2 linked regions of the Xenopus tropicalis genome follow. The protein of the gene in region 2 interacts with the protein of the main gene of each other region in a pairwise test. Links are inferred from orthologs where the notes say so. Each region holds a gene or a part of one and is shown on either strand. Other genes may lie near its edges.

The links. The genes of interacting proteins can lie anywhere in the genome.
Region 1: the proteins of creb3l1 (region 2) and fxyd3 interact in binary tests that used the Homo sapiens proteins (3 or more experiments, as listed by UniProt). The two-hybrid records come from large-scale screens. The link is inferred for Xenopus tropicalis from reciprocal best matches to the Homo sapiens genes CREB3L1 and FXYD3.

What each region holds. Positions count from the first base shown.
Region 1 is NC_030683.2:126,673,836-126,678,171, reverse strand, and holds the start of fxyd3 (FXYD domain-containing ion transport regulator 3 precursor), read left to right. Parts: upstream 1-1,493; 5' UTR 1,494-1,534; coding exon 1,535-1,574; intron 1,575-2,280; coding exon 2,281-2,313; intron 2,314-2,469; coding exon 2,470-2,490; intron 2,491-4,336. UniProt on the Homo sapiens protein: Associates with and regulates the activity of the sodium/potassium-transporting ATPase (NKA) which transports Na(+) out of the cell and K(+) into the cell.
Region 2 is NC_030680.2:13,410,555-13,414,119, reverse strand, and holds part of creb3l1 (cyclic AMP-responsive element-binding protein 3-like protein 1), read left to right. Parts: coding exon 1-96; intron 97-367; coding exon 368-517; intron 518-2,027; coding exon 2,028-2,086; intron 2,087-3,135; coding exon 3,136-3,204; intron 3,205-3,565.

The sequences.
Region 1 (4,336 bases), on a different chromosome or scaffold from region 2:
AGCTAAAGGGAAACTACACCCCCAGGATGAATACGTAACCAACAGACCGTTTATATTATGTTAAGTGGCCTATTAAAGAATCTCCCCAAACTGGAAAATATATATCAGTAAATATTGCCCTTTCACATCCTTTCCCTTGAGCCGCCATTTAGTGATGGGCTGTGTGCTCCCTCAGAGATCAGCTGACAGGAAGTGATGCAGCTCTAACTGTAACAGGAAGTAGTGTGGGAGTAACAGGCAGAACTCTGCCCATTCATTGGCTGATGGGGCCTAGCATGTATGTGTGCCTTGGCTTGTTTGTGTGCACTGTGACTCCTATGATCCCAGACCAATTGCAAATTGTCTTTTAATTATATGTGTTAGTTGGGATCAAGTACAGGTACTGTTTTATTATTACAGAGAAAAGGGAATCATTTAACCATTAAATAAACCCAATAGGGCTGTTCTGCCCCAATAAGGGGTAATTATATCTTAGTTGGGATCAAGTACAGGTACTGTTTTATTATTACAGAGAAAAGGGAATCATTTAACCATGAAATAAACCCAATAGGGCTGTTCTGCCCCAATAAGGGGTAATTATATCTTAGTTGGGATCAAGTACAGGTACTGTTTTATTATTACAGAGAAAAAGTAAATTATTTATAAAAATGTATATTTTGCCTTTCCATAAATTGGAACTTTCTGGATAATGGGTTTCCGGATAAGGGGTCTGATACCTGAATATTCTTATAGATAATATACTTATATAGTGTCTTATTTCCTAATGACATTTACTCATTAGCACAATTCAGGCTATGTAAATGAGGATGGAAGGGAAGGAGCATACACACTACTAACACTGCTCTGGGTTGTTCCTGTTAAGGTGGCCATAATTTGTAAAAAATATAATTGTATTATATATCCGCAAAATGAGCGGATCTTTCTCCAATATGACCTCTTAAGGTGGGCAATATTGGGCTAATTCTAACGTTTTGGCCCTAGGGATCAGATTATTTGGTCTAAAGGACTCGAATCTGCAGCTTTAACTGCTGCCTTTCTCTGCAAGGAAATAGTGGCGGTGGGGTTTGGCGAGTCCATCCTCCACTGGTGTAATCCAATAGTTGGTCAGACCAAGAGATCAGAAACCTCAGTTGCCCTTTCCCATCTCCTTCTAGAGCAACATCAGAACCCTTCTCTGTTTTCCTTCTGAAGGGATATCTCTGTCTGTACAGTTACAGGAACTGACCAGCAGGTGGCGCTGTTACAAAATTCATTATATTGGCAGTTAATAAAAACTTTAATAGCTCTGAAACTAAACTTATCCTTTGGCTTTTGCCTTTGATGAAGTTATTGTTGTATAGTTGGCATATACCTTTATTTAATGCTCCTGTCTGTTCTATGAACCCCTTCTACCCCGAGTCTGCCGGCCAATCACTGAGTGTGACATCTGGTGTGCGACCGTATAAAATAAATAGCAAATTCAATCTACTTAAGGTGCGGCTGTTTACTCTGTGCTTTGCTTTCTCCCCAGGCTGCGAGGAACTGCTGCTAGAAGATGCAGGAAGCAACAGTAGCCTTCTTTTTGATGCTGACAGGTATGTACAAATCCTATATAACTTGGGTAGAATATGTCTGTCCCAATATGGAGGAAGAAGCCATTTTCCCGTTGGAGGATTGAGGGTTAGATCCGTGCAGTTATTTATTTAAAGGCTTTCAAAGTCCCTCCTTGCCTTCGGGCTGCCTTCAGCCAGCTACCTGTACTACAGTGCATGCTGGGAGTGTACAGTCAAACACAGCAAGCCTAAGGGGGGTTTAGGGCCCCCATAATTGGCAGCTTTAATCTAGGTTTGAGCAGAGAGTGGGTCTTAATGGGGTTGTTCACCTTTGTGTTCACCTTTTGTTCAGCAGCTCTCTAGTTTGGAGTTTCAGCGGCTATCTGGTCACTAGGGTCCATATTACCTTAGCAACCAGGAAGTGGTTTAAATGAAAGACTGGAATATGAATAAGATAGGGGCTGAATAGAAAAAGAAGTTCTAAGATGTAACAATAACAATAAAACTGGAGCAATAGGTTTTTTTTTTGGCTGCTGGGGTCAGTGACCCCCATTTTAAAAACGGCAAAGAGTTGGAAGAAGGCAAATAATTTAAAAACTATAACAAATAAATAATGAAGACCAATAAAAACATTGCTTAGAATTGGCCATTCTGTAACATACTAAAAGTAAATGATTGTATGCTCTAGTTATTGGACTGTTCCACCCCCTGAATAATATAATTATTATATCTCTTATTTCCCCCTCAGCTCTCCCTGGTCTCCATGCTAAGAGTCCCGAACGTAAGTAACTGAAATGTGGCCCCTAGGCTCTGTGTCTGCGGGCTTCATCCAGATCCTGAGACTGTCCATATGTACTCGGGGATAACTTTCATACACAGAGAAGTTTGCTTGAAGCAAATGATTTTAACTTGTCCTTTGTTTTCTTTTCATTTACAGACAACTCGCAGTTCGTCTACGGTAAGTTCCCAATGGAGTCGGCCACACATTGTGCTATTTATGTTCTGTGTGTCTTGCACCATTAAAGAACAAGCATGGAACATTTCAAGCAAATAAAAGAATACTGTTCTGTGTATATTTTGCTAATTATCTGCTCTGCAGCTTTGCTTTGTTGCCCAAACTAATGTGTGCAGAGGCGCCATCATATTCCCTGCTCCCAGTTATCCCCTGGGTGGCTTTGGGTGGGCGTGGTAGAGAGATTGGGTGGTGTGCAGTACAGGTATGGGACCTGTTATTCAGAATGCTCAGGCCTAGGGTATTCTAGGGGTCTTTCTGTTATTTGGATCTCCATGCCTTAACATTTAAACATGAAATAAACCCAATAGGGCTGTTCTGCCCCAATAAAGGGTAATTATATCTTAGTTGGGATCAAGTACAGGTACTGTTTTATTATTACAGAGAAAAGGGAATCATTTAACCATGAAATAAACCCAATAGGGCTGTTCTGCCCCAATAAGGGGTAATTATATCTTAGTTGGGATCAAGTACAGGTACTGTATTATTATTACAGAGAAAAGGGAATCATTTTTAAAAATCTGAATTATTTGTTTAAAATGGAGTCCATTGGAGATGGCCTTTCCATAATTTGGAACTTTCTGGTTTCCATATAATGAATCCCATACCTGTACAGAGAATGGGTGGCTGGCTGGGTGCAGTACTAGTACAGAGAATGGGTGGCTGGCTGGGTGCAGTACTAGTACAGAGAATGGGTGGGTGGGTGGCTGGGTGCAGTACTAGTACAGATAATGGGTGGCTGGCTGGGTGCAGTACTAGTACAGATAATGGGTGGCTGGCTGGGTGCAGTACTAGTACAGAGAATGGGTGGCTGGCTGGGTGCAGTACTAGTACAGAGAATGGGTGGCTGGCTGGGTGAAGTACTACAGAGAATGGGTGGCTGGCTGGGTGAAGTACTACAGAGAATGGGTGGCTGGCTGGGTGCAGTACTGGAGAGAATGGGTGGCTGGCTGGGTGAAGTACTACAGAGAATGGGTGGCTGGCTGGGTGCAGTACTAGTACAGAGAATGGGTGGCTGGCTGGGTGAAGTACTACAGAGAATGGGTGGCTGGCTGGGTGCAGTACTAGTACAGAGAATGGGTGGCTGGCTGGGTGCAGTACTAGTACAGAGAATGGGTGGCTGGCTGGGTGCAGTACTAGTACAGAGAATGGGTGGCTGGCTGGGTGAAGTACTACAGAGAATGGGTGGCTGGCTGGGTGAAGTACTACAGAGAATGGGTGGCTGGCTGGGTGCAGTACTGGAGAGAATGGGTGGCTGGCTGGGTGCAGTACTAGTACAGAGAATGGGTGGCTGGCTGGGTGAAGTACTACAGAGAATGGCTGGCTGGCTGGCTGGGTGCAGTACTGGAGAGAATGGGTGGCTGGCTGGGTGCAGTACTAGTACAGAGAATGGCTGGCTGGGTGAAGTACTACAGAGAATGGGTGGCTGGCTGGGTGCAGTACTAGTACAGAGAATGGGTGGCTGGCTGGGTGAAGTACTACAGAGAATGGCTGGCTGGGTGCAGTACTGGAGAGAATGGGTGGCTGGCTGGGTGAAGTACTACAGAGAATGGGTGGCTGGCTGGGTGCAGTACTAGTACAGAGAATGGGTGGCTGGCTGGGTGCAGTTCTAGTACAGAGAATGGGTGGCTGGCTGGGTGAAGTACTACAGAGAATGGGTGGCTGGCTGGGTGCAGTACTAGTACAGAGAATGGGTGGCTGGCTGGGTGCAGTACTAGTACAGAGAATGGGTGGCTGGCTGGGTGCAGTACTAGTACAGAGAATGGGTGGCTGGCTGGGTGAAGTACTACAG
Region 2 (3,565 bases):
CAGAGCCCCCGATCTCTCCCACCCCCAAGCCCAGCCCGTCCTGCCCCGCGCTCTTCACATGCTATATCCTCATCACCACTACTTACTGCACCCCATGTGAGTATTCCTTGTCTAAATCTCTATGGTCAGCTCTGTGGGATAGATGGTAGGTGGCACACCAACCCGCTGATGTTTACTCATGGCCTTGGCCCAAAAATCTCTAGTAGCCAATAACCATTAATATTTGATTTGGGTTATGTTACTGGAGATAAGTAACATTACAACAAAAGAAACTTGGTCACACGTTGGACTCTCCCTATGTTAAATATACTGGTACAATGATGTGTCGTAGAGAAGCTGTAATGTCTGTTTTTATTTGGGTGCGTAGAAACTACAAGGCACATCTGGCCCGTTGATGCTGACCGAGGAGGAGAGACGGACTCTAATCGCTGAGGGCTACCCCATTCCCACTAAACTCCCCCTTACAAAGACCGAAGAGAAGGCTCTGAAGAGAGTGCGAAGAAAGATCAAGAATAAGGTGAATGGCGGCTTCTATACCCTTCCAGTGTCATCTTGTGGGACCTATCCTTAATCCTTGAAACTAGGCAGCCACCTAATCCATCATTTGCCCGAAGAGTGACTCCACCACAAATCTTTAATAATTTTAGTAAAGTGTCCTCTGCTCCTGGTATTATTTTAGAGGTTTATTGGGGGCAGACTGACATTAAGGGTTTTCAATGCAGCACCCAAGAGAATGTTGGGCATACGTAACTTGGTGGTCTGAAGAGTGCCTTGGCAGACGGCTATTTTTGTGTTTGGGGGAAGCTATTTAAAGATATTTTCTACACAGATATCTTCATAGTTTCCCATGGCCAATTCCGTGTATAATACCCCAGAACACACAGCAGAATAAATACAGCGCCAATTCCATGTATAATACCCCAGAACCCACAGCAGGATAAATACAGTGCCAATTCCGTGTATAATACCCCAGAACACACAGCAGAATAAATACAGCGCCAATTCCATGTATAATACCCCAGAACCCACAGCAGGATAAATACAGTGCCAATTCCATGTATAATACCCCAGAACACACAGCAGAATAAATACAGCGCCAGTTCCATGTATAATACCCCAGAACCCACAGCAGGATAAATACAGGGCCAATTCTATGAATAATACCCCAGAACACAAGGCAGGATAAATACAGTGCCAATTCCATGTATAATACCCCAGAACACATGGCGGGATAAATACAGTGCCAATTCCATGTATAATACCCCAGAACACACAGCAGGATAAATACAGTGCCAATTCCATGTATAATACCCCAGAACACACAGCAGGATAAATACAGTGCCAATTCCATGTATAATACCACAGAACACACGGCAGGATAAATACAGTGCCAATTCCATGTATAATACCCCAGAACACACGGCAGGATAAATACAGCGCCAATTCCATGTATAATACCCCAGAACACACAGCAGGATAAATACAGTGCCAATTCCATGTATTATACCCCAGAACCCACAGCAGGATAAATACAGTGCCAATTCCATGTATTATACCCCAGAACCCACGGCAGGATAAATACAGTGCCAATTCCATGTATAATACCCCAGAACCCACGGCAGGATAAATACAGTGCCAATTCCATGTATAATACCCCAGAACACACGGCAGGATAAATACAGTGCCAATTCCATGTATAATACCCCAGAACACACAGCAGGATAAATACAGTGCCAATTCCATGTATTATACCCCAGAACCCACAGCAGGATAAATACAGTGCCAATTCCATGTATTATACCCCAGAACCCACGGCAGGATAAATACAGTGCCAATTCCATGTATAATACCCCAGAACACACAGCAGGATAAATACAGTGCCAATTCCATGTATAATACCCCAGAACACATGGAAGATTAAAGAGAGCCCATGGGCAGACTGCTTGAATGATGAATGGGATTTGAAGAGGCTACAGTTTGATCATAGATATGTGCACTCATGCAAATCTCTAAATCTTCCCATCCAGATCTCAGCCCAAGAGAGCCGAAGGAAAAAAAAGGAATATGTGGAGTGTCTGGAGAAAAAGTGAGTTGTCAAGGTTGAGAAGATCCTTTATACTTTAGCTGTGTGCCATACTTGTCAGGACTTGGAAGGGCGGGGGGCTTGGAATCAGGATACGGCTGGGGAGTCACTTAGTGAGAAGTTTTATGATGAAGAAACTAAATGACTGCTATTATTTTGGGAAGACAGTGGAGCAGTAAATGAAGGAAACGGGAATTTTGTGATCCTGCACACAACTATTCCGCTTATAGAAGGGAACAATGAAATGAACAATGAAATTAGCCTTAGTCATAGGATAGTGCTTGGAATGGTCATTTCAGAAGTGACACCGGACATCACTTGGATAAAGAGGTCAGGTAGATGTTTGGAGAAGAGCTGAGGATCAGTATGAAGCAGGATGGAAAAAGAAGGAAAATATCTTGCAGAAAGAAGAGTTTTGGTTGTGTATGAAGGGACCTGGGAATGATAAAAGAGATAGGAGGAGGGGAAGGAGTTAAGAAGCTACCTGCATGGTCTACTTGTACAGGGTGGCTTTGGGCTCAGGGTGGCTCTGGGATAAGGGTGATTTTGGGCTCAGGGTGGCTCTGGGATAAGGGTGGTTTTGGCCTCAGGGTGGCTCTGGAATAAGGGTGGCTCTGGGATAAGGGTGACTTTGGGCTCAGGGTGGCTCTGGGATAAGGGTGGCTTTGGGCTCAGGGTGGCTTTGGGATAAGGGTGGTTTTGGGCTCAGGGTGGCTCTGGGATAAGGGTGGCTCTGGGATAAGGGTGGCTCTGGTATAAGGGTGGCTCTGGGCTCAGGGTGGCTCTGGGATAAGGGTGACCCTGGGATCAGGGTGGCTTTGAGCTCAGGGTGGCTCTGGGATAAGGGTGGCTTTGGGCTCAGGGTGGCTCTGGGATAAGGGTGGCTTTGGGCTCAGGGTGGCTCTGGGATAAGGGTGGCTTTGGGCTCAGGGTGGCTCTGGGATAAGGGTGGCTTTGGGCTCAGGGTGGCTCTGGGATAAGGGTGGCTTTGGGCTCAGGGTGGCTCTGGAATGGTGGAGTTCTAAGGACAATTGTTGTGCTTGTCCTTCTAGAGTGGAAACCTTCACATCACAGAACAACGACCTGTGGAAGAAAGTAGAAACCTTGGAGAACGCCAACAGGTGAGGGGTGTGGGAAAGCACTAAGATGGGTAATCCAATTTCAAGCTGTTTGACTCCAAAACTGATCAGTTTTTTTCCCCATAAATATTTTGCTGGTCATCTGATGCCCTTTCTCATTCCCTAATGGAGTTCACTGGCACTCTGTCCCTAACATAGGTATAATTGGGTAATATAAGTGGAATTAATGGAATAGCGGTATTCTAGCACCACCTGCTGTCAACAATGTAAACTGCAAAATATCTATATCATCTATCTATCTATCATCTCTATCTATCTATCTAATTATTAATCTATCTGTCATCTATCTATCTGTCTAGTTACCGAGCATGCTAGGAGTTAAGGTGTTTTGTTATTCTGCTGA